2 linked regions of the Neurospora crassa OR74A genome follow. The protein of the gene in region 2 interacts with the protein of the main gene of each other region in a pairwise test. Links are inferred from orthologs where the notes say so. Each region holds a gene or a part of one and is shown on either strand. Other genes may lie near its edges. The genes, in order: NCU03630 and NCU03028.

Region 1 (14,596 bases), on a different chromosome or scaffold from region 2:
AGAGGGGGTTAGCATAACGGACGCTGGAGTTTTATCCGCTTTTATTTTGCAATTGGTTTGTGTTTGTTTTTGAATCACTCCCCTCAAAGACATTGGCAGCCGGTAAAAGACGGCTGGAACATGAAGCGGCGACAGAAGGATATTCTGATTCCGTCTGGCCCCAAACCTGGTCCTTCCCTATTCGTCTTGACGGCCGCCAATGAAAATGGGAACCTGGGATCCGAAGAAGCAAGAGCATGAGCAGAAAGGTCGCTACCTTATTGGTGTGGCAGACTAAAGAGCGTTGAAGGGCGAAGGGCCGGCATGTTTGTTCTACACGCCCGGTCCTCCTTGTGTAGCCAACAAGGTCAGGCCGAAGAAGGTTACGAAGAAGAAGAGGAAGAGAACGATGACGAGAGGGGTACTCCTTCTTGTGAGGCAAATTCTGGAGAGTTTCGGTGGTTCAAGCGGCTGTGGTTGCGGGATGGTTGACTGCTTACGCATAACCTGTCTCTTGCTAAGTAGGACAGCAGACGGAGAATTAGAGTGACTTGCAACGAACATTATTTTTCTTCTCTCTCCTTTTCCTTTTGTTTATTTGATAAAATAGAAACAGTAACGAACAACCATGACAAATGCCACTCTGATAGAGTGCTTGTCTTGTAGTATGTACTGCTGGCTTCGGACCAGGCATCTACCGATTGATATATTCAAGCGTGGAAAGTTCTATAGCGATCATGCCTTATATAGCTCTGCTCATCCGGCCTTTCACGTTACTTTTCACCTACTCTTCACCTCCTCTTTAGCTTCTCTTAGCGTTGCTCCTCTTCAGATCTCCTCCACCCCTCAATTCAGGTCCCCTTCACTTCTCTCTTCATTTCTCCTTCGCTTTATCTTCACTTGTCTTTTTACCTTCTGCCCCTTTGACCCTATTAACTCTCCCCCCCTCGTTGATCCTCATTCCTGAGTCCTCCTCTTCACCCCCTCCCTCTCACACCACTCCTGATCACTCATCCTAAACCAATCCGCCACGCACATCATGCCCGCCCACAAATCGCACTGAATCGCCAAATGCACCATCTCCAGTGCCAACGCGTTGAACATCCTCCCCAGCGAAAACGCATCCATGAACCCCAAGCCGTGAAACGCCATGTCCAGCGTCGCCCCTTCAAGCCCCATGCGCCGCGCCATATACGGCCTCGCCAGCCCCAACAACGCCAAGCTCTCAAACGGCGTCATCATCGCCCTCGCAGCACAAAGTCCTAACGCGCCCGCGGCGAGGACGTGTGGCAGGCGCGTGAGGCCGTTGTCTCTGTAGAGAGGGGCGTCCAAACCCAAGCTGCTGCTATTATTGGTTTGTGTTTGTTGCGAGTTACGGTTCGAGCCAGCAGAGGTATCAGGCACGTTAGGCCTCAGCTCGGCGGCCCAAACTGCTGCGCCGGGAGGGATGGGCGCGGAGTCGCTGGTGGCGGAGTCGCTGGTGTCGACGTCAAAGGTGATTAGAGTGGGGTTGACGTGCTCGGTTTCTTCGTCGTCGTCGCTGAGGAAAGGGGCTTCGTCGGCTGTTGCTGCTGGGGATTGAGATTGGGATTGGTTTGTGTTCGAGGTGGATCCGTTGGGACCGCCGGGAGTGCCGGGACCGGGACCGCTGACGGAGATGATGCTTTGGCGGCGGCGGGTACCATCGGGTGGAGGACCGGTAGGGAGGGCGTCGTTGGTTGGAAGGGTGTCCGAGGGGGCGTGGACCATTTCCCAGCCTGCTTCGATTGCGTTTGCGCTTGGGGCTTGTTGTTGCTGCTGTTGTGTTGGTGTCGGTGTTCGTGGCTGAGTTTCTTGTCGCTGTTGCTGCTCTTCTGGTGTGGGTGTGGGAGGGATGTATGTTCCACTGGGCGGTTGTAAATAGGGGACTACCTCCTTAAGAGTCCTCCTCCTGCTGAAGTTGATGGGTTTGGGCAAGCGTCGTTGGATTTTCCGCCTAAGTGACCAGACGAGCCGGGCGTATGTCTTTGAAAAGAACCAGTAGCCGGCAAAAGGGGCGATACCGGCGACAAAGGCGCCGAGCCAGCTGATGATGCTTCCAGGGGTAAAGGAGGATGGGAGTTTTGGTAGGAAGATTGGGGAGTCATTGCAGCCTGGAATGAAGAAACCAAGGGTGGGAACCCATCTCGAGGTGTTCACAAGGCCGGTTCGTTGCATGAAGACGAAGATCTCTAGGTGTAAGTTGACCCAGGAGAACACGTACTTGACCCATGGGTATTCTGGCATGTCGAATCCAGCAAAACTATCGCTCAGGACATACGATGGCAGCCCGGCCCAGAGGTACTCTCCCCATGACTGCTGGCGCCTGTGAAAGTGAAATAGACGAGAAAAGGGAACATGGGCGTAGTCCTTGTACAGCAAGATACGCTGCCTCAAGCCGTTGACTCCCCAGACTCCGACGGTGGCCAAGACCTCGCCGGTGAGGAACAGCTTCCTCCCAATTCCATCTTCGTAGTACTGGTGCTTGGTGGCGGCTTCGTATAGAGCTTGGGCCTCGTTGATGCCACTGTCCGGTTCGGCAACGCCGATGACCAGCATAACCTCGTTGTGAGAGCGGATGATGTCTCTGTTGATGCGCCGTGTCTCTGGATTCACTGGTCGTCCTCGGTCATCATACAACTGCTCTGGGGCCCCGGGTTGGGGCTCGCCAGTGCCCTCAACTACCTCATCGTAGGGAGACCGGCCCTGTCCTTAGTGTCAGAACGAAGTTGTAGCCCGAAAGTCTTGCAACGATGACTTACAAGGGCCTGTGATGTCAGTGGGCCCAACCGCATCGTGAAAGGGTCAACTGGATTCAGGAGGTGTTTGTAGATTACTATCCGGCATTGCCAAGATGTTTATGTGTACATTACACGGTGAAATTTGACCAGTCAGTGGCCATCCTCGTGTAACAAACTAGGTCCTGTGCCAGAGATTGTGTTATGGTGAAGATAGTGGTGGTATAGCTGATGAGTGATGGAGACTGGAACAGACAGTTGACGTTGGTGGGGGCGATTGGGGAGCACAGAAAGCCGAGGGAGGGTCATGCTCCAGTTGCTCCAGTGCTCCAGCGTGGTTCGTCACGGATTCCTACAGGGGTTGGATCTGCATGGCGCTAAGATAACCTTATTGCCTGGCCTTATCAGCGGGCGGCAGGCAGCGACCCGCGAAAAGTTTTTGGGATTGGGGACTTTGCAGTGTACCACCCTACACTTGACGTTCTAACAGCAGAACCCCAAAGGCGGCGGCGCGCAATCGCAACCCTCCTTGCCTCTCTGTTTGATTTAATCCACTTGTACAGCCAGACACTCCGTCACCACAATGGCGTACAGGCAAACCACCACCAAGACGACCTTCGAGGTCAACAATGTCATCCAGCCCATTTTCACAGGAGGTTCCGTAGCCCTCGACAATGGCGCTAGGATCCTCGCGACCACCCTCGGCGAGCAGGCCGTCCTCACAGAGCTCAACACCGGCAAGCAGCTCGCCGAGATCGAGGGCGACGGAGAGCCCATCTCGACCCTCACCATCACCCCTTCGGCCTCCCACCTGATTGTCTGCTCTCGTTCTCTTACTATGCGCATATACTCCCTCAAGGTCTCACCAGATTACGATTCCATCGAAGCCACCCTTGTACGCACCACGAAGCCCCACGCCACCCCCGTCGTGGTTCTCGCGGTCGACCGAACTAGCACCCTTCTTGCCACCGGTGCTGCCGACGGCGCCATCAAGATCTGGGACATTGTCGGAGGATACGTTACCCATACCGTTAGCGGCCCGAGTGTCCTTATTTCTGCCCTCCACTTCTTCGAGATTGCCGCTCTCGAGGACCAAGCCAGCAACAAGAACAAGAAGAACAGGCGAAAGAGCACAGCCGAGGAGGAGCAAGCTCAGGATGACAGCGTCGCTTCAAAGTTCCGTCTTGCCTACGGCACACAGGACGGCAAGATCCGCATCTTTGACCTCAGCAAACGCAAGACCTACCCCGTTTACGCCGACCCGACTTCGAGGAGAGAAGCGCACGAGTCCAACGTACAAAGCCTTGACTACTCACCAGAACTACATGCCCTTCTCAGCGGTAGCAGAGATAAGACAATGACAGTATGGCTGTGGAAGGAGGGGACATGGAGGGGAACACCCATGTTGCGCCATGAAGGCGTTGAAGCTGTCGGCTTCCTCAACAACGGAAGCTTGATGTATTCGGCTGGAACAAGTGGCCTACTTAGGCTATGGGACACAACCACACACCAAGAAATCACAGCAAAGCAAGACGCCAAGTCGGAAGCCGAGTCGATAGTGTCAGCCCTTGCTCTTCCCCACAAGAACCTTGTTGTTTGCGCCCAGTCTGACTTCACCCTCGCCCTCTACCGCACACCTTCGGTCGCCGATGCCACCAAGAAGTCGACGAAGCCTCTGGAACCCTTCAGGCGCATCTCGGGAACACACGACGAAATTCTCGACCTTGTTTACCTTTTGCCCGATCAGTCTCTCATGGCTCTTGCAACCAACTCCGAAGATATCAGACTTGTATCCGTGGCGGATAAGCAGCCCCAGCTGGGCGACGAGGAGGAGGGCGCGGCATACTTTGGCCATGACGTAGCTCTACTCAAGGGACACGAGGATATTGTCATGTCTCTCGATGTAGACTGGTCTGGCCACTGGGTTGCTAGTGGTGCCAAGGATAACACAGCTCGCCTCTGGAGGGTTGACCCAGCCAATAACTCGTTCGAGTGCTATGCAGTCTTCACTGGCCACATCGAGTCTGTCGGCGCTGTCGCACTCCCCAAGATCGTACCTCCCGAGAACTCGGAGGCGTTCAAGAACCCCCTCGACCACCCGCCCGCATTCCTCATTTCCGGTTCCCAGGATCGGTTCGTTCAGAAGCGTGACATTCCCCGAACATCACAAAAGGGAGCCGTCTCAACCAGTCTCCGTCGCTTAGCCCACGAGAAGGATATCAACGCTCTCGACATCAGCCCCAACGGAAAGCTTTTTGCCTCGGCATCACAAGACAAGACGGTCAAGATCTGGGATTCCGCAACATTAGAAGTCGTAGGTATCCTCAAGGGTCACCGCAGGGGTGTCTGGACGGTTCGGTTCGCGCCTCAGGGCATGCCTGCCATTCAAGGCGAGACCGGCACTGCTGTTTCCGGTAAGGGTGTAATCTTGACGGGTTCTGGTGACAAGACCATCAAGCTCTGGAACCTCTCGGACTACACCTGTCTGCGCACATTCGAGGGCCACTCCCATAACGTCCTCAAGGTTGTTTGGCTGCGCCTTCCCAAGGCCGCTGACGACGCTGAAGACGAGGCTGCTGCTGCCGCCTCCAAGGCCAAGCAGCGCATCCAGTTCGCCTCTGCGGGCGCCGACTCCCTCGTCAAGGTCTGGGACGCCAACCTTGGTGAGACCGAGTGCACGCTCGATAACCACGAAGACCGTCTCTGGACGCTCACGGTGCACCCCAAGACCAATATGCTTGTGTCTGGTGGTTCCGACTCCCGCGTAACCTTCTGGAAGGACACTTCGGCTGAGACCCATGCCGCCGCGTCCTCGGCCGCCCTCAAGCTCGTCGAGCAGGAGCAGCAGCTCGAGAACTACATCCACGCCGGCGCCTACCGTGACGCTATCATTCTGGCGCTGCAGCTCAACCACCCCGGTCGTCTCCTGGGTATCTTCACTAACGTGGTCACTACCAACGCCCCCGAAGAGGGCTCTCTCTGCGGTATCAAGGCCGTCGATCAGGTGCTTGGTAACCTCTCCGACGAGCAGATTTTCCTGCTCCTGCTGAGGCTGCGCGACTGGAACACCAATGCGCGCACGGCGCCCGTGGCGCAGCGCATCCTCTGGGCGCTCGTCCGACTCTACCCTGCCAACAAGTTCTCCAACCTGTCGGTCAAGGGCGCAAGGGGACAGAAGAGTCTGAAGGAGGTGCTCAACGCGTTGAGGGTGTATACTGAGAGGCACTATAAGCGCATAGAAGAGCTGGTGGATGAAAGTTACCTTGTTGAGTATACTTTGCAGGAAATGGACAGTCTGGCACCGCCGGCGATTGAGGAGAGGGATGGGGATCTGGTTATGGCTGATGCATAGATTTTTGCCTTGAAATTTTGGAAGCATAACGAACGGCTGGGAAAAGTAGCAGTGGATTTTTTGTGAAATGGGATGAAATAATGTGATACCAAGTTTGAAACACATACACGTATAGACCGAATGCTAGTGTCCCGTTTGCCGATTGTGTGATTGTTGATGAAGTTTTCTTTCTTGTGAGAAGCCCATTCCTAAATCTATTTCATGCCTCGCCCTGGGTATCAATAATGCGTGTGTAGCGTCAGCCATGTACCATAATGGCCGATTCCTTTGGTAACGTTTCTCGTTGCGTCGTCGACCCCATAGTTTAACTCACCATGCCTCGAGCACGTTCAAGGCTTCAAGGCTTGTCTATCATGGTGGCTCTCCGCTATTTCTGTTTCCCACTCCTCGTCTTCTCTTTAACTTTGGCTGCCTTGAGGTGATCCACACAATCCTTGATCACAGACTGAAGGTCACTGTTCCGCCTAGCAAGTAGAAGCACGTCATCTGTGGTAACGGTGGTACGCCCAGCATGTTGGCTGAAGGTTTCCAAATCGATGGCGACGTTTTCTGATGTCCACAAGTTAGTAACCGCCAAACAACTTGCGCTGAGAAAAGACGTACCAATCTGAGTCCACACAAGCTCGGTGAGAGCTCCGATGAACTGAGGAGTGGCATTCATGTTGCGACGGAGCGACTCATCGTCGACCATCTTGCCAATAGCGAACCACAGGGCTGATTTGAGACGCTTCTCTTGTTCAGTATTTGAGGTTAGAGCTCGCGGAGAGAAAAATCATCAACACACTTACCTCCTGAACATCTTCACCCGAGGCGTCGGCCATTTTGGATTATGTAAGTGATACTTACACTTACACAATTCTCATGCATCCCCGTCCGTTTAAACGATGTTCGGCTGGGGGGGACGCGTTGAGCGCGTCGGTAGTGGGGTAACCCTACGGCTGGCATTTGCTGTAAAGTGGATTACGTAATGCGGCTCTAGTCCCACTAAGGTGAGTGCCTGCCAAGGGGCACGCTCAGTGGGGCATCTGGGTGTATCCACATCGGCGCCGGTGGGGTTCCCCGAACGAAGTTGATGTAACCTGTACGTATCAGTCAAGTCCATTCCCGTGCCGTCGGCGTCCCGAGTGGACGTTTCTCGCGCAGATGGATTATGGAGCACACCAGCCCGTCCGCAAGTTCGCAAGTGCCGTGTCCGTTCAACACTTTTTTTTCCTCCCTTCTCCTTTTCACAACGACTCTAGACTCTTCTTCTTCTTCTCTCTTTCCTCCTCAACTCCGGCAATCTCGGGATCCTTCTTTGTAATACTTTTTGAATTAGGCTTCTTTCTTCCTTTCGTACTTAATCAGTCGACAGCGAAACCTTTTCATCCGGTGTTTCCTCAAGACTTGACCTCTGCCTACCGTGTTGTCGCAAAAGCATCTCCCACCGCCCTTTGCGCAAAGAAGCCCGAAGACAACCACCACATAACAACCAAATCCCGCACGAACAAAACCGACCAAGATGGACGGAATAGCCAATGTTGTGACGGTCCTGGGTGATCGTATCACCAACAATGTCAAGGGCACCTTCGCCAACATGACGGCGGAGAAGTGGATTCGCCTGATCATCATTGTCGGAGCTTGTGAGTTGCAACATCATTTTCTTCAAGAGCGCAATGCGCAAAACCAATTCAAGTAGAACAGCAGCTGACAATGCGCCATCATAGACGCCCTGTTGCGCCCCTACATCATCAAGCTCGGCGGAAAGGCGCAGATGAAGAAGCACGAAGAAGAATCCGCTGAAGCCCTCAGGGGCACCATTTCCCCCAACGAGCTGCGCGGACAAAAAGCCATGGTCCGTCTTCCTGGTGAGGACAGCGACTCGGAAGACGACGAGGCGCAAAACGGAGAGTCTTCGGCGGCGGACTGGGGCAAGAAGGCCCGCAAGAGGCAGCGCATGGTCATCAAGAAGCTCATTGAGGCCGAGGAGGACAAACTGCGGGAGAGCAAGGAGGAAGAGGAGGATAAGGATATTGAGGAGTTCCTACTTAAGGACTAGAAAAAAGAACTGGGTTCGGGTTTGGGTATGACTGACGTTGGATGATATTATACATTAAAGTATGGATGACGACGACGAATACATAATAATCAAATAATAATGCATTTACGAGACAAGCCATCTGATGGGGTGACAACTTCTGCTTACATGTGAGAAGGCTAAAGAAACTGTGTTGCGGGAAAGGTGGGACCTTGCAACCTGCATTCTGTGAGTGAAGCATGGCTTGGCCTGCAGCCAGAGAGAAGGCAGAACGAGTTCATTAGGACCCACTTCTACGTCCTTTTAACATTCACTCACCTTCCACTTGACTTTCTTAAACCAGGACACCTTACACACCTCAACCTCCAAACCTCATCCAAACCTCACTTTCGACGCGCAGCTTGAATATTGCTACCTCAGCGAAACCTACCTATGATAACGACAGATAATCGCTAGACAGTATCTACCTATATATCAGTCACTCGACCTAGCGCGGACTCTTGCTTCACCACCGGTGAAGTCGTCAAAACAGCTTCACCACCATCAATCAGCGTCATCGAAGCACATCAGCGAGACTCACCCACCAGCGAAGCGGCCTTGTCATCGCCCATTCTTTGCCACATCAGCCACCAGAACCAAATACACTTCTTCACACCACAGCTCCAAGATGGCGACTATCTCAAAAGACGAAGCCATCATCCGCTCCTCTGGCGAAGGTACGCCCACTCCCTCACCCATGAGTTCCTACCATCCTCTCACCTCACCTCACCTCACCTCACCCAAACTAACTCCTTTTGCCCCTCAGCCGCCCGCGCCTTCACAGACTGGTACTACACCCAACTCACCGACGGCAAACCCGTTTCCTCCTGCTACGTCAACACCAACGCCAAGTACCTCGCCGCCTCGCACCCGCCCGCCGACATCTGCATCAACGGCCAAGTCGTCGCCACGCCCGAAGAGTGGGACGCCCTTCTCGAGCAACAGCGCCTCATCACTTTTACCCAGCAAAAGGGCAAAGTCAAGTACGAAGTCGAGGGGTTCGACGTGCACGTCATCAACAAGGATTACCGGTTTGCTGCGCCTGCGGAGATCGTGGCGGCTACGGATGCCAAGATGATGCAGAGGACGGAGGATGCGCGGTTGATGATGGTGGTTACCGTGGCTGGGAGTGTGACTTTTGGGGGCAAAGAAAAGGGCACGCCGCCCAAGCAGCATTTTTCGGATGTCTTTGTTTTGGTGCCAAATTGGGATTATGTGACGAGGCCCAAGTTCAAGGGGCATAAGAGGTATTTGGTCGCTAGTCATACTTATAGGGCTTATTAAGGTGGGATAGCTCTGTGTGACGGATGGGGGACACAATGGGAGAAGCGTGAGGTTGTGTGTGAGCGGAGGGGGTATTTGAAGGCATGTATCCGAGGTATTTGTTTCACCGGATTTTCACATCAGCCAAGGGTTTTCTTCAGCGTCTTTTTTTTCTCTCTTTTTATTTACATGAGTTTATGGATTCGGCGTCAGGGAGGGAAAAGAGAAGGATTGTTAGATGGCTACGATCATCCTCGAAGCGGAGCATGTGGGAAGCCAATACCTCTACCACAAAATACATATGGTACCTCGAAAAGCCATCAAGAATGATACACACTACAAATTGTTTTACAGAACAACTACCAAAGCGAGCGGCTTGGGAACCCTCCTCTGTATGAACCAAATTACCCGATGCCCTTTGACCATATGATCGTACTGAGCTACCCTATAACTGCTTTCAATACTCTCGTCCGAACCGTTCGACCAAAACCATCCGTTTCTTGAAAGCCACCCATTTCTTCAAATCAAGCAAACCCACCTAGGCCGCTGCAATTCCCTCCTCAGCCTTTTCAACCTGCTCTCCGGGCGCCTTCTCCGTCTCACTTTGTGTCAAACACTTCCTCCTCCACTCCCAATACCCTCCCCGAATCTTATCCCACTTCTCCGCCAACCTCCTCAAACACAGATCCGCCTTTTCATTCTCTTTCTTCTCCGCATAAATCTCCGCCAACAAATCCAACGCATGCGTACTTTTCACCTCTTCCTCCTCCTCCCCTTCACCCAACTTATTCACAAACTCCTCCACAAACTCCTGCACGCTTGCCAGAGGCTGGCCGCCCTTCACCAACACGCCCCGCATGTAATTCCATGGGCTCTGGTTCTGCGGCGCCAGATACACCTTGTTCTGGGCATACTTCACCTCTCTCTCCACCAGCTCCTGGGGCACCTTTTCATCCTTTTCCGTCGCCGCCTTACCCGGCGTTGCATACTTTGGGTTAGAGAACACCAAAACGAACCGGTGCGACCAAGCACTGTTGTTTCGCACGTCCTCGTCAATCATTTTCTCAATCGACTTCAGTTCTTCCTCGTCCTCCCACATCCCCAGCTTGCCAACCAGCCACGAGCGGTACGACCAGACGTGATAGTTCTTGGTGTCTTCGGACAGGATGGCGATGAGGAAGCCACGTTCTTGTTTGGCGAATTGGGCAAGAGCGTCGGGGTCGGAAGAGATGGTGGGGTAATAGTGCTCAACGAGCAGGTGGCGGTGGTGCCAGATTTGGTAGTTCTTAAGGTTGGCGAGCGCAACTTCATTAAGCCACTCGATCTCGTCCGGGATGGATATGCCCAGGGCGAAGATGTTGGCGGCGCGGTAGAGCCAGACGGTGTAGTGGGCGGGGTTCATGGCGATGATGTGCTCAGTTAGGCGAAGGCAGCGGGGTGAGTACTCCTTTGTGGTCATGACGGCGCGGAGGTAGGACATTGCTATTTTTTTTGACGAGAATCAGCTTTGATCATGACCTGATTGATGGGGAGGGGAAAGAAAGGAAGTGTGTAACATACCCTCAGCATACTCAGCCGGATAAATGATTGCCGCCAGCGCGCCCTCGGGCTCCTCATGCGGAATAGGAACGACATCCTCCCACTCCACGCTCTCAGCCAGCTTCCCCGTGATAGCGCCGTACAGATCCTTCTTGAGCGCAGCCATCTTGCTTCGTCTGACCTTCTCTTCGTCAATCTCTCTTTCCGTAACAATAATCTCCCGTCCGGACCTTGCGTCGACAAACCCTCTCTTCTCACGCTCAACGTTCTCCCGAAATACTCTGCTCGACACTTGGAGCGCTGTCAATGCGATCCGCTTCCTGAATCGCTCGTCGAACCGCTCGATCGTGTAGCTGCCGACGTCGTGGCCGTTCCGATCAGTGCCCCAGGTAGTATGTGGCTTCGGCTTGTGCTTGAGTCCGCGGACGATTGAGTTGGTCCCGTTGACGGTCCACCAGATCTCCTTGGACGCTTTAGGACCGAGGAGGCTTGAGCGGCTGGCTGCGGGCAGGCGGTTGGTCAGATGTAGGAGCTGGTCGCAGATCCAACCTTTCTGGTCTTCTTTGGGGAGTTTGCTAAGTCCTTTCTGCTGACGGGCAGCTTCGAATGGACGGGTCTTTTCGTAACGCTGTTGGCTACGTTCGAGTACGGTAGTAGGTTCTGATGGTTGCGATGCTGTTTGGCTTGTAGTATTGGTCGTGGTGGGATTGGAGGTGGTAGTCGCTGGAGCTTTGACAGGAGAGGACCGCCCTGGTTAGCTACCTTTCCAAGTATTATTGTACCAACAGACGCAAAAGCTGCAAACAGGAACAGGATGAGAAGGACAAATAAGATCTTTCGAGGTCGAGTACCAAAAAAGAAACTTACTTTCGGTTGCTTTGGGCTTTGTGGCCGCTTTACCTTTGGGCGGCATCGTTATGAGGTGGTTGCTAAGGGGGAAATGGTGGGGTCTTAAAGCGGAACGGGGACCTTGCTGAACGCATTGATTTGCAGCGGTCGTCGGATTGCAAACAAAGTGACGAAGGACGTCAGAAACCAGTGGCGCATCAAACAAAACAATCGCAACGTGCAAGTGAGCACAATACTTGCTTGACATGCACGGAATATCATGATCCCCTTGGTAACTGCAAACATCGCTTGCCGCCTCTGTTTTTTTTTTTCTTTTCTTCTTCTTCTCTTGACGTTCCATCTACTTATTCCAGAAAGATGCCGTTGAAGCAGTACCTTGTTACTTCCCCGTCACTTCACCTCTTCATGACCTCATTACCACTAATCTTCTAATATACACCCTCATTAAATAAGTAATATTCATTACGTAGTAATCGTTCCATCTTCGCGTCCAACAAGAATAGAACGCGATATGTACAACTGAAGTGAGGAAGTCTAATCAGGGATCTGCCTCCTGCCAGCTCGTTTTAGGTATCGTGGGGGGGAGAGAGAGACCCTCAACACCAAGATGCCTGTCTGTCATCCCTTGCCTGCACACCGACATGGGGGACTGACTCCATTAACGTCCCAAATCAGCTCAGCCCACACTCTCTAGTCCCGGTTCTCAACCCGCCAGAACTTCCAGCCCTCCCGCTCGCCCCGGTCGCCATGTACACCGACAAGTTTCTCAAGCGCCTCGTTACTGTCCGCACTGAGGAACTTCTCAAGGTCGATCTCCATACCGCCCTCCTCATCCTCGTCCATCCCGTTCTTCAGTACAGCCGGCCAGAGTACGCCAACACCGTCGCTACCTAGTGTTGTCTCGAACTTGGAGTACCCCTCCTCATCCAGGCGCTGCTCCAGCTTATCCAGCTTCTCGCGCGGCACTCCCGGCCGCAGCAGCGTGATCGAGCATCCGCCACCACCCGCACCAGTGAGTTTCGTCCACCCGATACCCTCATGGTCCACGAGCTCGCGCACGCGCTCCAGACGGGGGTGCGACACGCCGAGTGACACCAGTAGGCCGTGGTTGATGGTCATCATCTCGCCCACCTTGCTCAGGCTCTCCTCGTCCTCCGTGTTGAACCCTTGCTCCTCAATGAGCTGTGCAGAGCTTTGCGTGACCTGGTCGATGGCCGTCAAAATGGTGCCCACCAGCTGCGGGTGCTTCTTCTTCAGCGTGGCCACCTTGGCAACCTCGTGCGCCGTTGACTTGGCCGTCCTGGTGTCCACGAGGAGCAGCGGGAGCTTAGGGAAGTCCCACAGGGGGCGCACAGAGGGCGGCTGGTTGTAGTCTGTCCGTTGGAAGACGACCGCCTTGCCCTGTGTTGATACTGTGTTGTCCACGCCCGAGGGGTTGCCGTGAATGAACATCTCGTAAACAAATGCCCACCGGTTGATGCGCTCAATTTGTAGCCTGGCCTCCTCGGGAGGTTGGTCGGGGTGAGGACCGGACAGTGTCCGAAGCTGGAGCAAGAGCGCTGCCGACAAGCATACTGCGATGGTCGCGCTGCTGCCCAGGCCGGCTCCGATGGGAATCGTCGAGCGCAATGTGTACTGGCAGCCGGGGAACGACTGTGAGCCAAGGGAAAGGAACATGTAGAGGAAGGAGCCGGCCGAGTTCTGGTGCACCTTGCGAATGTCGGCGGGCTTGTCTATCGAGACATCGGCGAGGAAAGGTTGTACGGCGTCAACGAGTTCTTGGTCAATCTCGGTGACGAGACTGTAGTAGTACTTCTTTTTCCCTGGTTGTTGGAAGATCTTCCATGGGAGCTCGTCGATATTCCACGAATGATTGAAGTCGATGTCAGGGAATTTCAGCGTAACAGTTCTCTTGGACTTGGAAAGCGTGTTGACGAGCAGGTAAGATCGCAGCGAGATGGCGGCAGCAATCGCAGCCTGGCGAAGAGAGACAACCGTTAGCCTCTGGGAATCATTACCCCCTTTTCCAGCATCACCATGATCTAGGTGCTTGATCGACGTACCTTGCCGTGAACGACTGCGTGCTCTCCAAACACAATGACTTTTCCCGGTGCCGAAACCATGAACGTCGGCATCATGGGACTGGACTTTTTGCGTTCCATTCTCTGTCGTATGGGTGTTAACATGCTGTTGGTAGGAGAGCCCCCGTTGACGGCGCTGCTGGCGCTTTCTTCAATCGTCACTCTGAGACCATTGCTGGGGTTTCCGTTGACGGCCTCGCTCGCATCACCATTTACGGGTTGGTTTCTCTGCTCGGACTCGGAATGGAATCCATTGACTCCGTTGTGTTCTTGCTCTGCCATGGTCAGAGGTGGTTTTCTTTGTGCGTATGTTGTACGTAATCGACCCGAGCGTCCCTCGGTCTGTGTTCGGCGACAACAATACCAACAATGCTAAGCGGGAGGGGCCCTTCGGAGAGGGGCTCAATATACGAATCCGGCGCAATTGGGTGAACCGTGGAATCGCCAACAAGATGATGGCTGAGTACTAGTTCACGTTGAGGTAGAACTGTGCCGAGATGCCGATCTGATGAAGAGCGAGTCGGCGTAAGGCAACCGAAGCTGCCTAAATAGGTAGAGATATGTAATATATCGAAGGCCTAGAGAAATTGGGGGCTCAAGACGACAGATTGGTCCCAAAGCAACTGAGGGTATCGCAGCGTAGGGATGTTGGTAAACAAGCGGGCGAGATGGAGGTTGTTGATGTACTGCCGATCTTTTTCTAGCTCGAGTCTGCAAGGTC
Region 2 (15,910 bases):
TTTCGAGAACGGGAGGGCGGTCTTCGCAGGAGATATCGTCGCACGGGTCTTTCGGTTGGTTCAGGACAGGATCGTGGCCGTGGATCGCTAGGAGCGCTGGGAGTGACGGGACGGGCGGGCTCCGGAGTGGAACGGACTGGTGCCGAGCTGCGAGTCCTGATGTAGCTTATCCCTCGGCAATACTCGGCCAATCGCAGCATAGAAGATGTCAGCGGCAGCGTGTGCCGGTCGTGGCTCGGCGTGGAAAATCCCATTGTTCCCGGCGTGGCCGTAGCTTTGAGATTGGTACCTCTCACTACGTACCGGATCTTGCTGCATCCAGTGGGTTGCACATGCAATCCAAGGGCCCTGTCCCCCCGCCAAACCCGACCCGGCAAGAACAGGGGTGGCCCAAGCTCCCCTCCGCCGTTCCAGAAATTATTTCGCAGTCGGAGATGCTAGCGCGTAATGATAGGTACGGCAGCGCGTTAGTTGGGGCGATAAGATACCTATCGAGACCTTCGCTGCACCCGGGTTGGGACGAGGGGCCATTATTTTTTTTCGATGGCGCCGTAGTTCGCCGGTACCTTAATGACTGGCCGAAGCTATCATCGCCGCTTGTACACTCCCAACCTACCTCAACACCAGTCGACTGATCCGCTCACACCACGCGACCCCGGATCTTCAGCCGGAAACCCTACTGTACCGCCTGGGCATCCCGACCAATCTACTACCGCGCCCTTGGAACCATAACCAAACTCTTGCAATTGCCCAGCAAGGGACCCAATTCCGGTTGATCGGATCGCAAAAAGAGGGCCGGAATCGGCGCTTCGGGTTGCGCTACGGATTGCGCCCAGTTCCCTCTCCTTCCTTCTTCTAGCCGTTGAGCGATACGCAGCCAAACATCACATCAAATGCTGCTTCGCACAAAAGCCCTAATACGCTCCGGCGGGAGTATCGCCAAGTATGCTGCGGCTAACCCATCATGCTTCATTCTCCAACGAAGAGGACTCAGGCGCGAATTCGGACCAAAGTACACGGCCAAGATCAATGAGGCCGAGGAAAACTGGCAGGCGAGGGCAGAGGCCATCAAGAAGGGCAAGAAGCAGAATACATGGGACCTGTTTGAGGAGAGAGGCTATGTCAAGGATACAGCTGGGTAAGTTTAGACAACTGGCCTTTCGATGCGCACAGGAACATGACTAACACGATTCTTCTACCAGCACCAAAGAGCACATCGCCGAGCTTATGAGGACGAGGCGGATTGGGGCATATGTCGGCATCGATCCTACCGCACCATCATTACACGTCGGCCATCTACTCCCCCTGATGCCGCTCTTTTGGATGTACTTGGAAGGATACAAGGCATTCACCCTCATTGGAGGCTCGACGGCAAAGATTGGAGACCCGACTGGCAGGCTAAAAAGCAGAGATCATTTGAGCAGCAGCGATGCGACAATGAACATGACTAAGATTCACTACCAACTCAAAAAGCTGTGGGAGAACGTGGACACTCAGATGCGAGCGCGTGGTTACGAAGCCGATTGGGCGCGGAAGCGAGGCATCGTCAACAACAACCATTGGTGGAACAAGCAGCCCATGCTCGAGGTCCTGAGGAGGGTAGGTCACGCCTTGCGCATCGGCCCCATGCTGTCGCGCGATACCGTCAAGAACAAGATGACCCAGGGAGACGGCGTGTCTTTTGCCGAGTTCACCTACCCCATCATGCAGGGCTGGGATTGGTTCGAGTTGTTCTACCAGCAGGGAGTTCAGATGCAGATTGGAGGTTCTGATCAGTACGGCAACATCATATCTGGTCTCGAGGTCGTCAAGGCCGCCCGAGAATCCGAGCCCGACCCGCAGGAGCGCAAATATGTTACGCCCAAGACTGCCCTTGACGAATGCGTCGGCTTCACCGTCCCTCTCTTGACCGATTCATCCGGTGCCAAGTTTGGTAAGAGTGCGGGTAACGCCATTTGGCTTGACCCCTATCAGACCTCCGTCTTCGATTTCTATGGTTACTTTGTCCGCCGGTCCGACCAAGAGGTTGAGAATCTCCTCAAGCTCTTCACTTTCATGCCCATCAGCGAAATCACCAAGACTATGGAGGAGCACATCAAAGACCCTAGCAAGCGTGTCGCGCAACATACCCTTGCGCGTGAGGTTGTGACGCTGGTGCACGGTAAACAGGAGGCCAGCGCCGCCGAGGACCAGCATCGTATGATGTATACCGGCCAGATGACCATTCCCCAAGTCTCTCGTGCCAAGGACGCAGCCACCGGTGGCGATCAGTACAAGACGATTTCAGATCAGCCTGTCACCCTCAACAACGCGCCCCGTATCGACATGATTCTCCCCGAGTCGCTCATCATGGGCAAGTCTATCGGCCGCATCCTCTACGCCGCCGGTCTCGCCAGCAGCACCACCGAGGGCCACAAGCTCGCGGCTGCCCAGGGCTGCTACGTCGGCGGAGCCCACAGAGCCGGCGGCGAGAACGTCACCATGAACCCGGACCTCATCTCTTTTATGCCCGTCAAGCTGTGGTTCCCCGGCGAGACCCAGCGCTACCTGATTAACGGCAACCTGCTAATCCTCCGCAAGGGCAAGCACAACGTGCGTGTAATCCAGATGGTCAGCGACGTCGAGTATGCTGCTTCGGGCCAGACGTACCCCGGACAGAGCTTTACCGGCGCTGTCAGGAAACTGAATGAGATTATGAAGAACCTCAAAGAGAAGAAGTTGACCCCTGAAGAGGCTAAGAATGCTGTGAACGAGCTGCAAAAGAGTTCGCAGGAGAAGCAGCAGGGCCAGCAGATTATCTTCCCTGAGGAAAAGAGCAGGCAAAAGAAGGATATGGAGACCAAGCTTAAGCAGGAGATGATTGCCTCAGTAAAAACGATTGATGGCATGATGGACGAAAAACCCTCTGTGCGGGGAGATGGGGTGAAGAAGCAGACTCAAGATGATAGGGATCCGTATAAGTGGTAGAGAATGTGTAAGATTCTATTCGCATGGTAGGGTGGCACAGAGAAAAGGCATAAAGGTTGGATTGGTTGGACAAAAGCGTTACTCCCCATACATATTTTGTAAGATAGAAGCATGAGAATACCCGATTTTTGGACATCATAGTCAATACCGTGGAGCCCCGCAATATGAAAAACACAAACGACAATATGGTATTTCCAGAATGATCATGATGTTTCTCAAGCAAACATTTTGAAATACACGGATAGTTAGCGTTCATTCCTGGGTCCTCCGATGCTGAAGTCGAAAAGGGGTTATGTGTTCTCTGTTTTTGTGGGAGGGGTTAGGGTTATATGTGAGGTACACACTAGCAGCCATTGACCTCGTAGCACCAAGGCACCTTTCCCAAGACAAAACACAATACGTGACAACTTCTGGCAAACCGACCACGGCGACGACTACTATGCTAACGTCATCTTTGGTTTGCAAAGTGTCTGATCATTGTTCTCAAAAGCAATTTCATTCTACTTCAGATTCGGATGACATCTATACGCTACTCGGTAGAACCAACCGATAGAAATGAGCGCCGGTAACATCCGATGAGACCATATTACTCGTCTCGGCGTCAAATCCAAAGTCGCTTTTCCCAACACCAAGAAGACCCTGGGTTTCGACAACAATCATTTAAATCATGATTCAAGCAATCTTCTATGCCAGGTTCTTTCCAAAAGAGGGTACATATAGCCTGCCTTGCCCGTCACTCATCAAAGTCATTTGCCCACCCATTTTTATTGGGTCTGGCCAAGACAGCCCAAAGACGAAGTGTAGTGAATCTCAAGCTAACCAGTGGCACTTTTCCCTAACTCAGGAACCAAAATCGTCGCACAAAGTCCACCGGGCTCAATCGTGCCAGTTCCACTTCCAGAAGGCACCAATGGTCCCCTCAACAGGAAACCATGTCTCTTCGACTTCAGCGTGCTCCAGGAGTACATCATCCCGCGCAAGGCCTTCTGCAACCGCTTCATCACCGTCAATGACCCGGACGGCAAGTACGTCATCCTGGGATACCCCGTCTCCATTCCGGACCCGCGGTACGACCGGAACGAGTTCATTTTCAACTTTGGGCTCGTCATCAGTTGCGATGTGGTGGACCAGATCCCCTATGAACGCGTCGTAAGGAGGCTGGCGGCCACCTTTGCCGAGATGGAGAAGCAGGACGGCTACCTGAGCCAGGACGCGGCCACGAGGGGCGGAGCGGTCGCGGTTCATGGGTATGGCAATGGCGGGGGCCGTTGGGTGGATGGGGACGGGAATGAAATGGTGAGTATGCGGCGGCCGATAGAATCGTTGCTGGAGATTGTGAAGGAGGATCTGAATAACTATGGAGAGTGCATGATTCCCATTGGTATATCTCCCTACCTATTCACCCCCCTTCATCACCTTAGTTACAAAAAATGCTGACCGTTTCAAAACAGACGACGCTAACACAATCAACATGAAACTCTTTCCTCACCACGTCAACCCCCCTGAAGTCAAAGGCTGGCACGTCCCCGTCGCCAAGATGAAGTTCGCCGACGTCGTCGACCCAACCTGGGATCTAACCCTGCAGCGCGTCGTCGCTCATATCGATGGCGTTTCCGACGTGCGCCGCATTGCTCTGGCCTCCGGCGTCTCCCTCGAGCTGACCCAGCTCGCCCTCCGCCACTTGCTCTACTACGACACTATCCTGCTCCTAGACATGTTCTTGTTCGGCGCGTGCTACGCCCCTCGCCCGGGCATCCACGACTTCATCGCCAACGTAGGCGGCATGGTCGACGAATGTGCTAACTACGTCTGCGTCGGACCTATCGATCCGTCTCCCAGCAGCAGCAACAACACCGGCACCGGCGCCGGACCTTCTTCTTCTTCTTCTTCCTCCGACAACTACCACCGTCTCCGTTCTGTGTCAGGAAGCACCACTTTCCACAACCACAATCCCTCCAACCTCTCCACCTCTGCCAGCACACGCCACAGCCACCTCTCCCCCTTTGGCCTTGGCCCAGGAGGTGGTTCCGACCGCGATCCCAGCCCTTACGCCCAACACCACCTCTCCCCCGTCCACGAACGAAAGCCCTCCACCTCCCCCCGCAACCCTTCCTCCAACATCCACTCCTCCTCCTCCCCACCGTCTAACAAGCCCCCACCACCCAACGGATACCGCATATCCAACTACATGCTAATCCGCCTAATGACTACCTTCTGCGTCGGCAAAACCGTGGCCGAATGGCTCAAGGGCCATATGGATTCCGGCTTCGACGTCCTACGGTACGTGGACGTTCGCCGCTTAGTTCAATTTGGCGTCATCAAGGGGTGTTTGTACAGGGTGCACAAGTATGTTATCTCGAAACAGTATCTGGCTGCGCTAGCTACGGGGTTGGCTAGACCTGTTTCGCCATCCGACACCGGAACTGGCACAGGCAAAGGGAAAAGTGGGAGGGGGTATGGCGAAGGGGAAATGGGGAGGGAACATAAAGTGGCGGTGCCGGGCGGACATTATGATACCTATCGTGAACCCGGGAGTCATGGGGGTCCGGGGGGGAAGGGGTCGAACAGCAAGAAGATGGCGATGATGATGAAGGCTAGTGGGGATCCGTTGCAAAAGTATATGGATGGACGACATTGTTTTGATCAGATCATGACGGAGAGGAACATGACGGACGCGGAGATTATGGATAAATTGAGGAACTTTCCGGTGCCGGCTGGGGATTTGACGGTGCTTTATCGGTAGAGGGAATGATAGCATGCAAATAAGAGTTGATTAGTGGTGTTGATAGTTAGCCCGGCTACTGTATGCGAACTCGTCTTCTTAGAGGACAAAAGAACCTTGTTGATTCAAGCAAGAGGAGACATGTTTGATAAAGATCGCTAAACTGTAAACATGTAAACCTCCTTACGTGAGGACACCCGCTGAAGGGGTGTTGTTTTGAGCATCGTCTCTGTGCTGGACTGTCTATCGTCCTCCTGAGCAACCATTATCGCTAGATATTTGATTAAAATATATCTAGCACGGCCCAACAATGACCTCGCCAGGAGATAACACTGCACTCCCTGGACATCCTTCAATCCACTATCCCCTCGACATTCTGTCGTTCATTGTGAATACCGCCGTATCCTTGAGGAACAGCAGATAACTGTCAATCTCCGGTCCACATCTCTGCACCGTCTAGTAAAGAAATTTAAGTTAAGAACCGCCCAGAAGATGTTCGATAGCACCCTGTACGCTACCACCGCTGCGGCGTAGTGCAGCAACGTTCCGATCAAAATCGAAGAAACCCATATCGTTGAGTTGACGCAGCTGCTCAGCATACCTCTCCTCTGGCGGCCTGTTGTCGGGAGGAGCAACGGGATTTCCGCCAAAACCACCCAAACCACCGCCACCAAATGCCTGCATCATCTGCTGCAAGGCCTCAGGCGAGATAGGGGGCAAACCAAAAGGGTTCGCGGCACCAGCCTGACCAGGCTGACCAGCACCTCCAAGCGCTCCGAACAAAGATGCCAACGGATCTGCTTGCTGCCCAGACCCCGAAGTGGCGCCAGTAGCCGGAGCAGATGCGGCATCCCCGCTCCTGGCACTCTCGGTCGAAGCTCCGGTAGACGCAGGCGAAGACCCCGCGGGGTTTCCAAAGAGCGCGGCAAAGGGATTACCTGCTGGGGGAGCGCCCGCCGGAGGAACACCAAATGGAAGAAACATGGCGAACGGGTTCTGCGCATCGGCATTGGCGTTGTTATTACCGGCACCGGTCGTCGCGTTCGGAGTGTTGTCCGTTACCCCGGGCGCTGGAAAGGCGTTGGCGCCTCCGCCCATCATCCTACGCATGCGTGCCGCCATGCGAAGTGCCTCCGGGTTCGTCATCATGTTGCGCATCATCGGAGAGTTGAGAAGCTCGCGAGCGCGATCAGCGGGCATGTTGGCCAACATCGGGTTGGAGGCAATCATCTGGTCGATGACGGCGGGGTTGTTGAACGCCTCGGCCATGACCTGGGCCATCGCTGGGTTCGAGAGCATGTTCGCGATTTCATCCTCGCTAGGAGGCGCGCCCATCTATAAAACATCATTAGTAAACAGCTATGTTAAGGGTCCAGGGGGCCGAGAAAGGGGTGGCGTACTCCTCCGTCCGGCCCAAACAGGTCTCGGCTTGGTAGCGGCACCTGACCGGCAAAGCGAGCGCCTGTGAGGCCAGCTAAAAGGTTATTCGAGGGAGTGCCGGCAGCCATGTTCTGAGGTATCGCGGGCTGAGCGGGTGTCGAGGTTGAGCCACTGCTGGCTGTCGCGGCGCTGGCTGGACGCTTAACCATGTGCACTGTGTTCATGTGCTTGATCTTGTAGAAACTAAGAACTTCATCGTCCTTCATGACCTTTCCGGAGTAGATGAGGCGTTGCTGCTCCGGCGAGATGTTCTCGTATTCCTCCCCCGCTAACAGGGTCTTGAGCTGAAGGACGGTCGCAGACTCGGCAATGGTGACTGTGTGGTTCTTGTCGCCTGAGCATTTTACTTTGAAGGTAATCTGGCCATCGCCGCCAGTATTTGAAGCCTCAGCCATGATTTCTATCGCTTTACGATTCGGCAATGAAACGGTTAATGGCGGTCGTGGATGATGACGTTGGTCTCAGGGGAGCTCCGATCGCCCCACGTTCGAGTTCAGCACTTTGTGATGGGATTATGTGAAAGCCTGCTGCAAAGTCGTTCGTATGGAATTACGATAGCTTCGTGTGCTGGTGAAAGTTGAGGAATGGTGATGCTACGGAAAAGGGTTGTGTTGGGAACCAAAGTAATTGAGTTGTTGTAATGTTGGAAGGTCACAGGCGGAGGCCGATAAGCGCTGCCGCCAACAGTGGCAGGTGGGTGGCATGGCATTAAGAGCCCCTCCACGGCAGGCAGCAGACCCCACTACAAGCCGTCATTAAGGTATACTAGGTAGTGTAGTGTTCACCGAGGTTCTTGCCTTTTTAGGCTTCACTTCTGTCGTTGAACACGACTCCATCCCTAACCCTACCTACCAAGTGCATGTTACAGTACCTTAGTACCCTACTTCAGCTTTCCCACAGGGCCTCGACGTAACGAACGCCGGTCACTAGGCGTATACATAGGTATACATACTACATGGAATCGATGGATGATACGAACGGTGCCTGATTGCAACTTCTGCGTGCCATATAGATGGTGAGCCACTATCTTGTCACCTACTAGTTCCAGTCAGCTGCGACACCTTGATAGTACTCTCCTGCTCTCACACCCATCCGCTTCTTTGAGGTTCTATCGGGCTCTCGGCATCCACATGACCTGACACCTGACCGGTTCCCCCCATCTTATCAGCTTGTCCAGTAGCTTTTGTTATCGCATGTGTGTGATGACAGGGTACTGTCGATTAGCTGCTGCTTCGAACCAAATCCATGTACCTTCTAAACTAATGGACGAGGGCGAATCGTCTCACTCTTTCCCTTGACAAACCTAAACCTCTTCCCTTCTCTGGTTTTGAACAAACTTTCTTCAGATGGCAGACACTTCATCGCTTCTGCCTACACTTTTATTCTGGTGGATGAAAGAAACTCAACGCATCAAACCTCCTACTTTGATGCGCAATCAGCATTCTTGAAGGTTCAGTGACCCTCAGCCGATAGCCGGTTTGGCGAGAATAATCTTTCGTTGATGTCTTCCGTCAAACCTGCACAACAAAATCGTATTCGCAAACTACTCACGTTTTCGGTTGATCAGTAGCGTTTGTTGTTATGGCGGCATTATATGGGCCGTCGCGTCAACCTCAGCGAACTAGGAGGTAGAACATATGGACTATACCAGACAGGTATGTACAGCTCAGAGTGCATGGTCCGTGGACCATGCCAGGATACTCCAGGTAAGTGTATCAAGGATATCGAGCATCTGCTCCTTCACCGCCTTGGTGTAGCCTTGGTGTACATCAAGACACATCTCTAACCGCACTTTAGAGCATACCGCCTAGGCAGTTCTTCTTGCTGCGGGCCAAGCAAGGATACGACGTGCTTAAGCGACCATTGTCTTCCACAAACCTTTGAGATCATGGAACTATTACACTATGATAGGCTGTCCGTCAATGCGAGATGTCGACGCACTAGCAGCGAGTGCCCTCACGTTGATGAGGATTCTTCTTCGTTCGTCCGTCTGAAGTGGAGTTGGCGTGGGCAAGGGCATGGACTGAGGAGGAGATCAGCGCTTTCCCAAGAGATGGCCCGTCAAGGTAGAGCTGCTACGCGTGCGACGCCGGTCATGTGGGTTGTTGTATACGGGATTCAGCGGACAGGCGCTGCCTGAATCGATCTCGTGAAATGCAACCTTCCGGTTCTGGGCCTCGAAGAGATCCAATCCCGGGCTTCGTTGAGGAAAGGCTGTGCTGCCACGTTGGACCGAAACTTATCGACAGACGACACCAGGATCCCAAGGATCTAATGGAATCTTCCTCGCTCGTTAGCAATGTCTCAAACTGCAGTTTTCATGGAAGGTCCCGCCCGCTGCATGTCTTTCAGCTACAGATGGTCTTTTTCCCATGCCGGCAAGCCACATGAGAAATTGGACGCAATAGGAGTCATCATATGGACATACGAGGCACTCTTCGAGGACTCCTGCTCTTGAACTTCTATGACAACCACTCGCGGTTCGGGGCAGGGCGCATCGGAGAAATACCGACCAGCTGAGAAGAGCGACCATGGCACGACTGGCGGTTGTGCAACTGGAGGTGCAGCATCAAGTACCAAGAGGTCGCGTGCAACTTTCTGTCTCCGAACAAGGGGGTTTCCAGCCATGTTGCTGCACTGACTGAAGGAACACATGACAGCTCTCCACGGTTGAAGCTAGACAGCCGACAGCAGGCCATTTCAGGCTGGTTGCCGGACGCCGGCGGGTGTGCTTAAATTTGTTGAGTTGACTGCATGATGAGTCCTCTAGTGAGCCAAGAAGTGGCCAGGCACGAAGCGGATGGAATTAAGCAATGCTGTCCGTATCCAATACTTGCGTTGAATTGGGCACCTGCATCAACAGCAGCCTTGTGTAAGTGACTCGGGTTTTAGGAGCGGCGTGGAACACGTCATAACATGGCGAGGACATCGATTTCGTGGGGGCACACAAAGAAAGAGATCGGAGGTTGAGGCGCTGAGACCAAGTGTCGGACACGCAGGGAGGCGTTGTGTTTGCTGTGTCGAGGTAGGTTGCCCGAGGGTGTGAGGTTGAGGTTCCTACTGCCTGTATTCATGATGCCCTGCTGCTTGACGTGGTAGAAAATCGCAGGCACAGAAGCCCAATTGGAGCTGGCCAGTGGCAGGGTTAGGTACAGGGACGCTATTAGCTGTACTCTAACAAAATCCTCACTGACGACAGGGGCTTTTACCTCTACTGCCCGGGCAGTGATGACTAAATTAGGGAAGGGTCCCTTCGGAACTGCCATGTGGAAGACACTGCTTGGGCCGTGTGTTTTAGGACATTGCATCATTCCAGTCCAAATCGGGCTTCCTCGTCATCGTTCAACCGGCGCCAAAATACTAATAATTTCTCGAAACAGCAATGCCATCAAATTCGAGCAGATACCCCTACTTCAGCTTAGCCTCTGATGGGTGTCTCATCTCGTAAGATCCGTTGTCGAGACATTGCACAACGGCCAGGAACGTGGCAACGAGACAGGGAGGAGAGGTACCCGCCCAGTAGCAGTAGAGGTAACTTGAGCAACAAGACGGATGCAATATACTTAAGGGTAAGTACCTCTACTTACACTGGGCGCATTTGACAAACTCACCCCTCTAACCCTGGTCGTCACCTTTGTGCTGTTCACTCCTTCCAGCGCGAGGAATTGAACGGATGCCACGATCGCAATCATGTCATCGCGCCTGCCCTTTCAGGCTTTCAGGGCTATGACCAAGCCACCATGAAAAGTCGCTCTCCAATTTCAATTCTTTGTCTTGGGGCGGGGAGATTGGCCTGTGTCAAACTTCCCCGCCCAGATGGGCCTCAAAGTCAGGCTTCACTCACTTCAACCTTGCACCCAGCTCTCACTCGATGGCTTCCACTAGGTTCGCTTCCTTCAAAATAGATCAAGCTTCCAACTTCCCCACGATGGCCGTGGAGCACAGTCTTCCCAACCGCATGATCCCAGCTAATAGATCGACAATCGACGGCCAGGTTTGGAATAGTCGCAGGCTGATGCCGTAAAAACTTCCGAAAACCCCTTCTGTGTACCAAATAACCAGTCACCAGCACCCTCGGACGTCAACCGGCCACCTCGTTTCTTCGGAATCTTTGTCCATACGCGCCTCACACATGACAAGTGCGAGCCAGCCGGGTGCCCCATCTCATGGACCCTCGAGTTTCCATTCCGAGATCATGGGAGGGCCCCGCAAGTCTATCCAGGAAATTTGCTTTTCCCGCTGGCGAGTGCTACATCCGGGGGTGGGTTCTCCGGAGAACAGGCCGAAGTTGACCATATCCACATACGAGGATGACCATGACACAGAGGGTAGTTACCATATGCCCCTGCTCAGCACAATCCAGGTTTAGAATTTGTTGGGCGAAAATCACCAAAAATCATCACCTGCGAGCTCAAGCCTGCAACTTGCAAGGACGTGGACTTATGTAAAGCCCTTCAGGATTGACTCCAGATGCAGATTAGTTTTGCAAACTGAAGCCCAATGGCCGAGTCAAGGCAAGGTCTCCCGATGCCACAGGTCAAGGATCTGTTGACAGTGAAAATGGCATGAAATTAGACGGGAAAAGTCAGCCCTAGGAAATCTTAACTACGACCCAACCACCACAAAAGATTCCGGTCACCGACTTCTACATCTCATTGGAACCTTCAGTGTTAGCCGCCTGCATCCTCGTTACATTTTTCCCACTCTTTTCGTAAAGTGCTTCACTGGTCTGGTGGATACGCAGCGGTGCATCTCTGGCGTGCCCATAGAGGTACCGCTTATCCTTTCCTTTCCTCGATACACCCTCGCAGACAACGTCATGTCATGCAGCAACTAGGGCTTGCGACTTCCGATCGTTGAGCCAACTCGGGTGTCCGCGTTGCTCCACTGCCATGGGTAAGTTGTCTGTTTGGTTTGCTCACCGTCCCATGAACCCCAAGGTCTGGGAACCAGCTGTCCCAGCAGAAGAAGGGTACCTAGTTATATAGACGCACAACAGGGCAATCTGCCACTCTTCTTCCGTTCTTGCTGCCCGACCAGCAGCATCTCAAACACATCGGTCCAACAAAAATGAGCTGGCACAAGCCTCATTCATCAAGTTTCCGGTACTTTTTCCCTAGTTCTTGTATTCATAAATGAGCGCCATGGTCGTGTCCGCTTCTCCATGTTTTGAGGGTTCTCCATCCGTCTCCTCCATCGTCTCCTGCCCGAACCCTCGATCGCTACCTGGTCTTGATCATCACGCGTAGAAGAGTCCGCATTGACCATGAGCTTCCCCTCCGTTTCTCGCAAGTCGCGCATCACAAGCGCGGCCAACGTTCTCTACAACAATGCCGTATATTGGCCGAATCACAGCGTGTACCGAGGTGACACTCCCGGTTCACTCAACTACGGATGCATCAACCGTGTTTACTATGCCTTTGCCAACATCATGGCAGACGGAGGGGTGTTTGTAAGTTTGTTCCGACGCCATCTTCCATCGTTAAGCACTTCAGCTGACTTGTTCTGGTAGCTCAGCGATGAGTGGGCAGATGTCACAGCGCCTTGTGACGGTGTCCAAGGGGCTCTCGGGTCCTTGATGCATCTCAAGCAGAAATATCCCCATCTGCAAGTGGTCTTATCCATTGGGGGTGGCGCTTCCAGTGAGACATTCGCACTGGTGGCTTCCAGCGCCATTCTCCGTAACAACTTTGCACAGTCCGCTCGCGGTCTGGTGGAAGCATCCGGCCTGGATGGAATAGACAGTACGGCTCCTTTCCCTTCGCCTCATCTCGCCTCGTCCAATATCGTAGCCAATGACCACGTACGCGTGAGAAGGCTCAGCCACTCTTGCCTCGTCACACATGTACAAATCCCCAATGATCTTGTTGAGATGTTTGACTGACAGCACCAGTTGTATGGGACTACCCCTGCTCCCCGCAACAAGGAAGTGATTTCGTATCTTTACTGGCCGCAGTCCGCGTCCATCTTCCCGAGGACCGTTACCTGCTCACCGCTGCTCTCCCTGGGGCCAAGTCCATCTTGCAGAATATCAATGTGCGGCAGGCAGCTGAATACTTGGACTCCATTAACTTGATGGCGTACGACTATTTTGGGTCTTGGTCACACCGAAGTGGGCATCACTCCCAGCTTTATGCAATGAATAAAGAAGAAGCATCAGGGGCGTCGAGTGTGCAATATCTGATGGCTTCCGCTGTCCCGGGCAAGAAAATCTTGTTTGGAATCCCTCTCTTTGGACGCAGCTTTCTTCACGCGAGCGGCTCAGGCCACAAATTCCAGGGTGCCGGGGGCGGCGACGACGGATCCTTCGAGTATTGTCAGCTACCACGACGAGGAACGAAGGAACAAGTTGACAAGCGGGCCGTTGCCGCCCAGTGTGTGGGCGGAGACGGTGGGTTCGTCACTTACGATAATCCGGATACAGTGAAGGCCAAGGCCACTTTTTGTAAGCAAAAGGGACTCGGTGTAAGTTGCTCCCACAGTTCCCGATCTTTTATTGGCCACTGCTCCCACAGAGTACCATCCTTTTCCCTCCAAGACACTCGGCTTGATGAGCCGTTCTCCAGTCTAAAGGCATATGGCTGATGTTTTTCTCATCCAGGGTCTCTTTTACTCGAGCGCACCATCAGATGTCAAAGACAGTAAACGGAGCTTAATTGCGGCGGGTTTCCGAACACTGCATAGCTCTTGAGTGTCATGACAACAGCGTGAGCTGAAACACATACAGCCACTGTAGTCTAGAGCCCCCCCTTGCTCGCTAATGTGGTCGTCCCGAGGCTCTGCATGGCCTTAGTTGTTCAGCGAAGTGTGGCTGACTTCTGTCATTGGACGCCATTTCGGTTGGCGTCTCTGCATGCGTCGCTCTACCACGAATGACACCTTGGTACCTTTTTGGGCATCGAAGTCGTGGCGCTCGATTCTTTGCATAACACCAAGCTCGCCCGTTGATGGATGGAGCGTTGATCATCGACTTCAAAAGGACAACCCTTGTAACGAGTATACAGTCTTTTTTTTTTTTTTTTTTTTTTTTTTTTTTTTTTTTTTTTTTTTTTTTTTTTTTTTTTTCGTGTTTTCTAGAGATACCATGTTCGCATTTTGTTCCCTCTTGTTTTCTCGCTTCGTCTCTTCTTCTTTTGTCTTTGGTATTGTTTTTTTCGTTTGTTGAGGCGCCCTTTCTATCTCTCTCATCTGCTTTCTGGTATGTTTTCCACACAGTTCGGAAGTATTCGTGTTTAGGAGTTCGGTTTCAACCATTCATATTGCAGTGCCCACAAGTGACGAGGAGTTGCTTTGCTGCAAAAGGATATACCAAATCAGAGGGGTAAGCGACATGGCAGAGTTGTATAGGATTTTTTTCTTGTTATGGATAGACTGCTGGACAGGAAGCAATTCTCGAGAAAAAAAAAAAAAAAAAAAAACTATTTCTCACCCTGTAGGACCTGGCATGTTGCCCAACGCTCCCTCATCTAACAGCGGGTAGTACACTAGTGATAGGAGAATTTCCGGGCAAGCTTTTTAGCGCATATTGGGTGTCTTGGTCCCTACATGTCTCGATGCTCTCCCGTCTGCCTCCAATCAAAGACGATATTCTGTTATCCAATTTATCCCACCGAGCCCGCCTCCCACACGTGGCCGTGGATTTTCCAATGAGATACCATTCGGTTTCATTCCGGAAACCAAAAATTGGACAAAACACCAAACATCCGCATGCCCTTTGTGCAAAGATATTTGCTAGCTTGACCGGAACGCCATGGACATCTAGATCTCCAAACTATATTCAACATCGCTGCCGAAATGGATTCTAGGACCCAATGCAGAACCCTGAAATCATGTGCCTCCTACGGTAATGACTACGCCAATGTAAGTGTACCCGTGTCATTGGCTGGTTCGAAAGCCAGCCACATTGGTGGCACACATAAGACGGGCCAGACACTACACATCCAGCTGAGCAGCCTACTCAGGGGTGCATGAACCCAATCGTCAATGTCTAAATGGTTAGGATGACGTCTACAGTATATCGAAGAGCATGTTGCGCAAAAGCTCAAATACCGTGTAAGCTGAGACGGAGATGTCCTGTGCCTGTCGGGTTACGGCACGGGAACTTGGCGTGCGCTCGGAGATAGAAGGATGGAGGAAAAAGTAAGGTGAAGCTATGTGAACCTACCCAACTGTACCAGTTGAGCTGAGAACGGAAGAGGAAACAAAAGGAAGAAGATGTCACGAAGGAATATGTCGATGTGCACAAACCCTCTATCAACCCCAAAACAGCCGCCTCCCCATACTCTTCAATTTGGGCCAATATACCAAGCAACTTGGCGTTTGCGGCTCTGACGTTGATGCACATAAGAAACAACACTGAAAACAAGGCGCACCTGTTTGGCAATGCAAATGTCGAACGAGTGCCACCTGGATCTGCTTTGCTGGCACGAACGCCCGGCCAAGTGCAAAAAAAAATGATGATAGAAAATTCCATTATTTCTCCACATAAACTTTATCTTCTATTCCATACGCTTGCTGCCCATTTGCTACCGTGCTGTTGGAAACAAAAAGAACCAACAATCGACGGGAGAGAGGTGTCGAGTTGGGTTGAAACGCAGGGCGACACGCCAAGTGGACTCTCTCTCTAGGTACAGTATGTACAGTATGTACATATGTGGTTCGATCGATGGTTGTATCCGAACGTTGCAAAAGGCTGCAGATGTTGCAGAGGACGATCATGAAACACTCAAGAAAGTGAACAGGACGAACGAAAGATGACGGCGCAGACGAATGTCGTCCGTG

Evidence for each region.
Region 1: the proteins of NCU03028 (region 2) and NCU03630 interact in a two-hybrid assay, tested with the Schizosaccharomyces pombe proteins (2 studies listed by BioGRID). The link is inferred for Neurospora crassa OR74A from reciprocal best matches to the Schizosaccharomyces pombe genes dsk2 and pga2.

The regions. Positions count from the first base shown.
Region 1 is NC_026505.1:1,892,847-1,907,442, forward strand, and holds NCU03630 (hypothetical protein), read left to right. Parts: upstream 1-7,215; 5' UTR 7,216-7,588; coding exon 7,589-7,709; intron 7,710-7,793; coding exon 7,794-8,125; 3' UTR 8,126-8,243; downstream 8,244-14,596. Other genes in the region: NCU03627 (hypothetical protein), read right to left, coding at 937-2,703, 2,760-2,792; pod-5 (polarity defective-5), read left to right, coding at 3,319-6,087; NCU03629 (hypothetical protein), read right to left, coding at 6,455-6,636, 6,691-6,814, 6,876-6,908; NCU03631 (hypothetical protein), read left to right, coding at 8,772-8,820, 8,910-9,427; NCU03632 (farnesyltransferase/geranylgeranyltransferase type I alpha subunit), read right to left, coding at 9,945-10,888, 10,967-11,674, 11,813-11,858; NCU03633 (mevalonate kinase), read right to left, coding at 12,485-13,771, 13,858-14,157.
Region 2 is NC_026501.1:8,386,973-8,402,882, forward strand, and holds NCU03028 (deubiquitination-protection protein dph1), read right to left. Parts: upstream 7,794-15,910; 5' UTR 7,525-7,793; coding exon 7,090-7,524; intron 7,025-7,089; coding exon 6,164-7,024; 3' UTR 5,711-6,163; downstream 1-5,710. Other genes in the region: cyt-18 (tyrosyl-tRNA synthetase), read left to right, coding at 894-1,138, 1,203-2,967; NCU03029 (hypothetical protein), read left to right, coding at 3,635-3,677, 3,812-4,348, 4,419-5,710; gh18-3 (chitinase), read left to right, coding at 12,396-12,581, 12,642-12,873, 13,023-13,594, 13,731-13,820. UniProt on the Schizosaccharomyces pombe protein: Protects ubiquitin chains against dissambly by deubiquitinating enzymes thereby promoting protein degradation.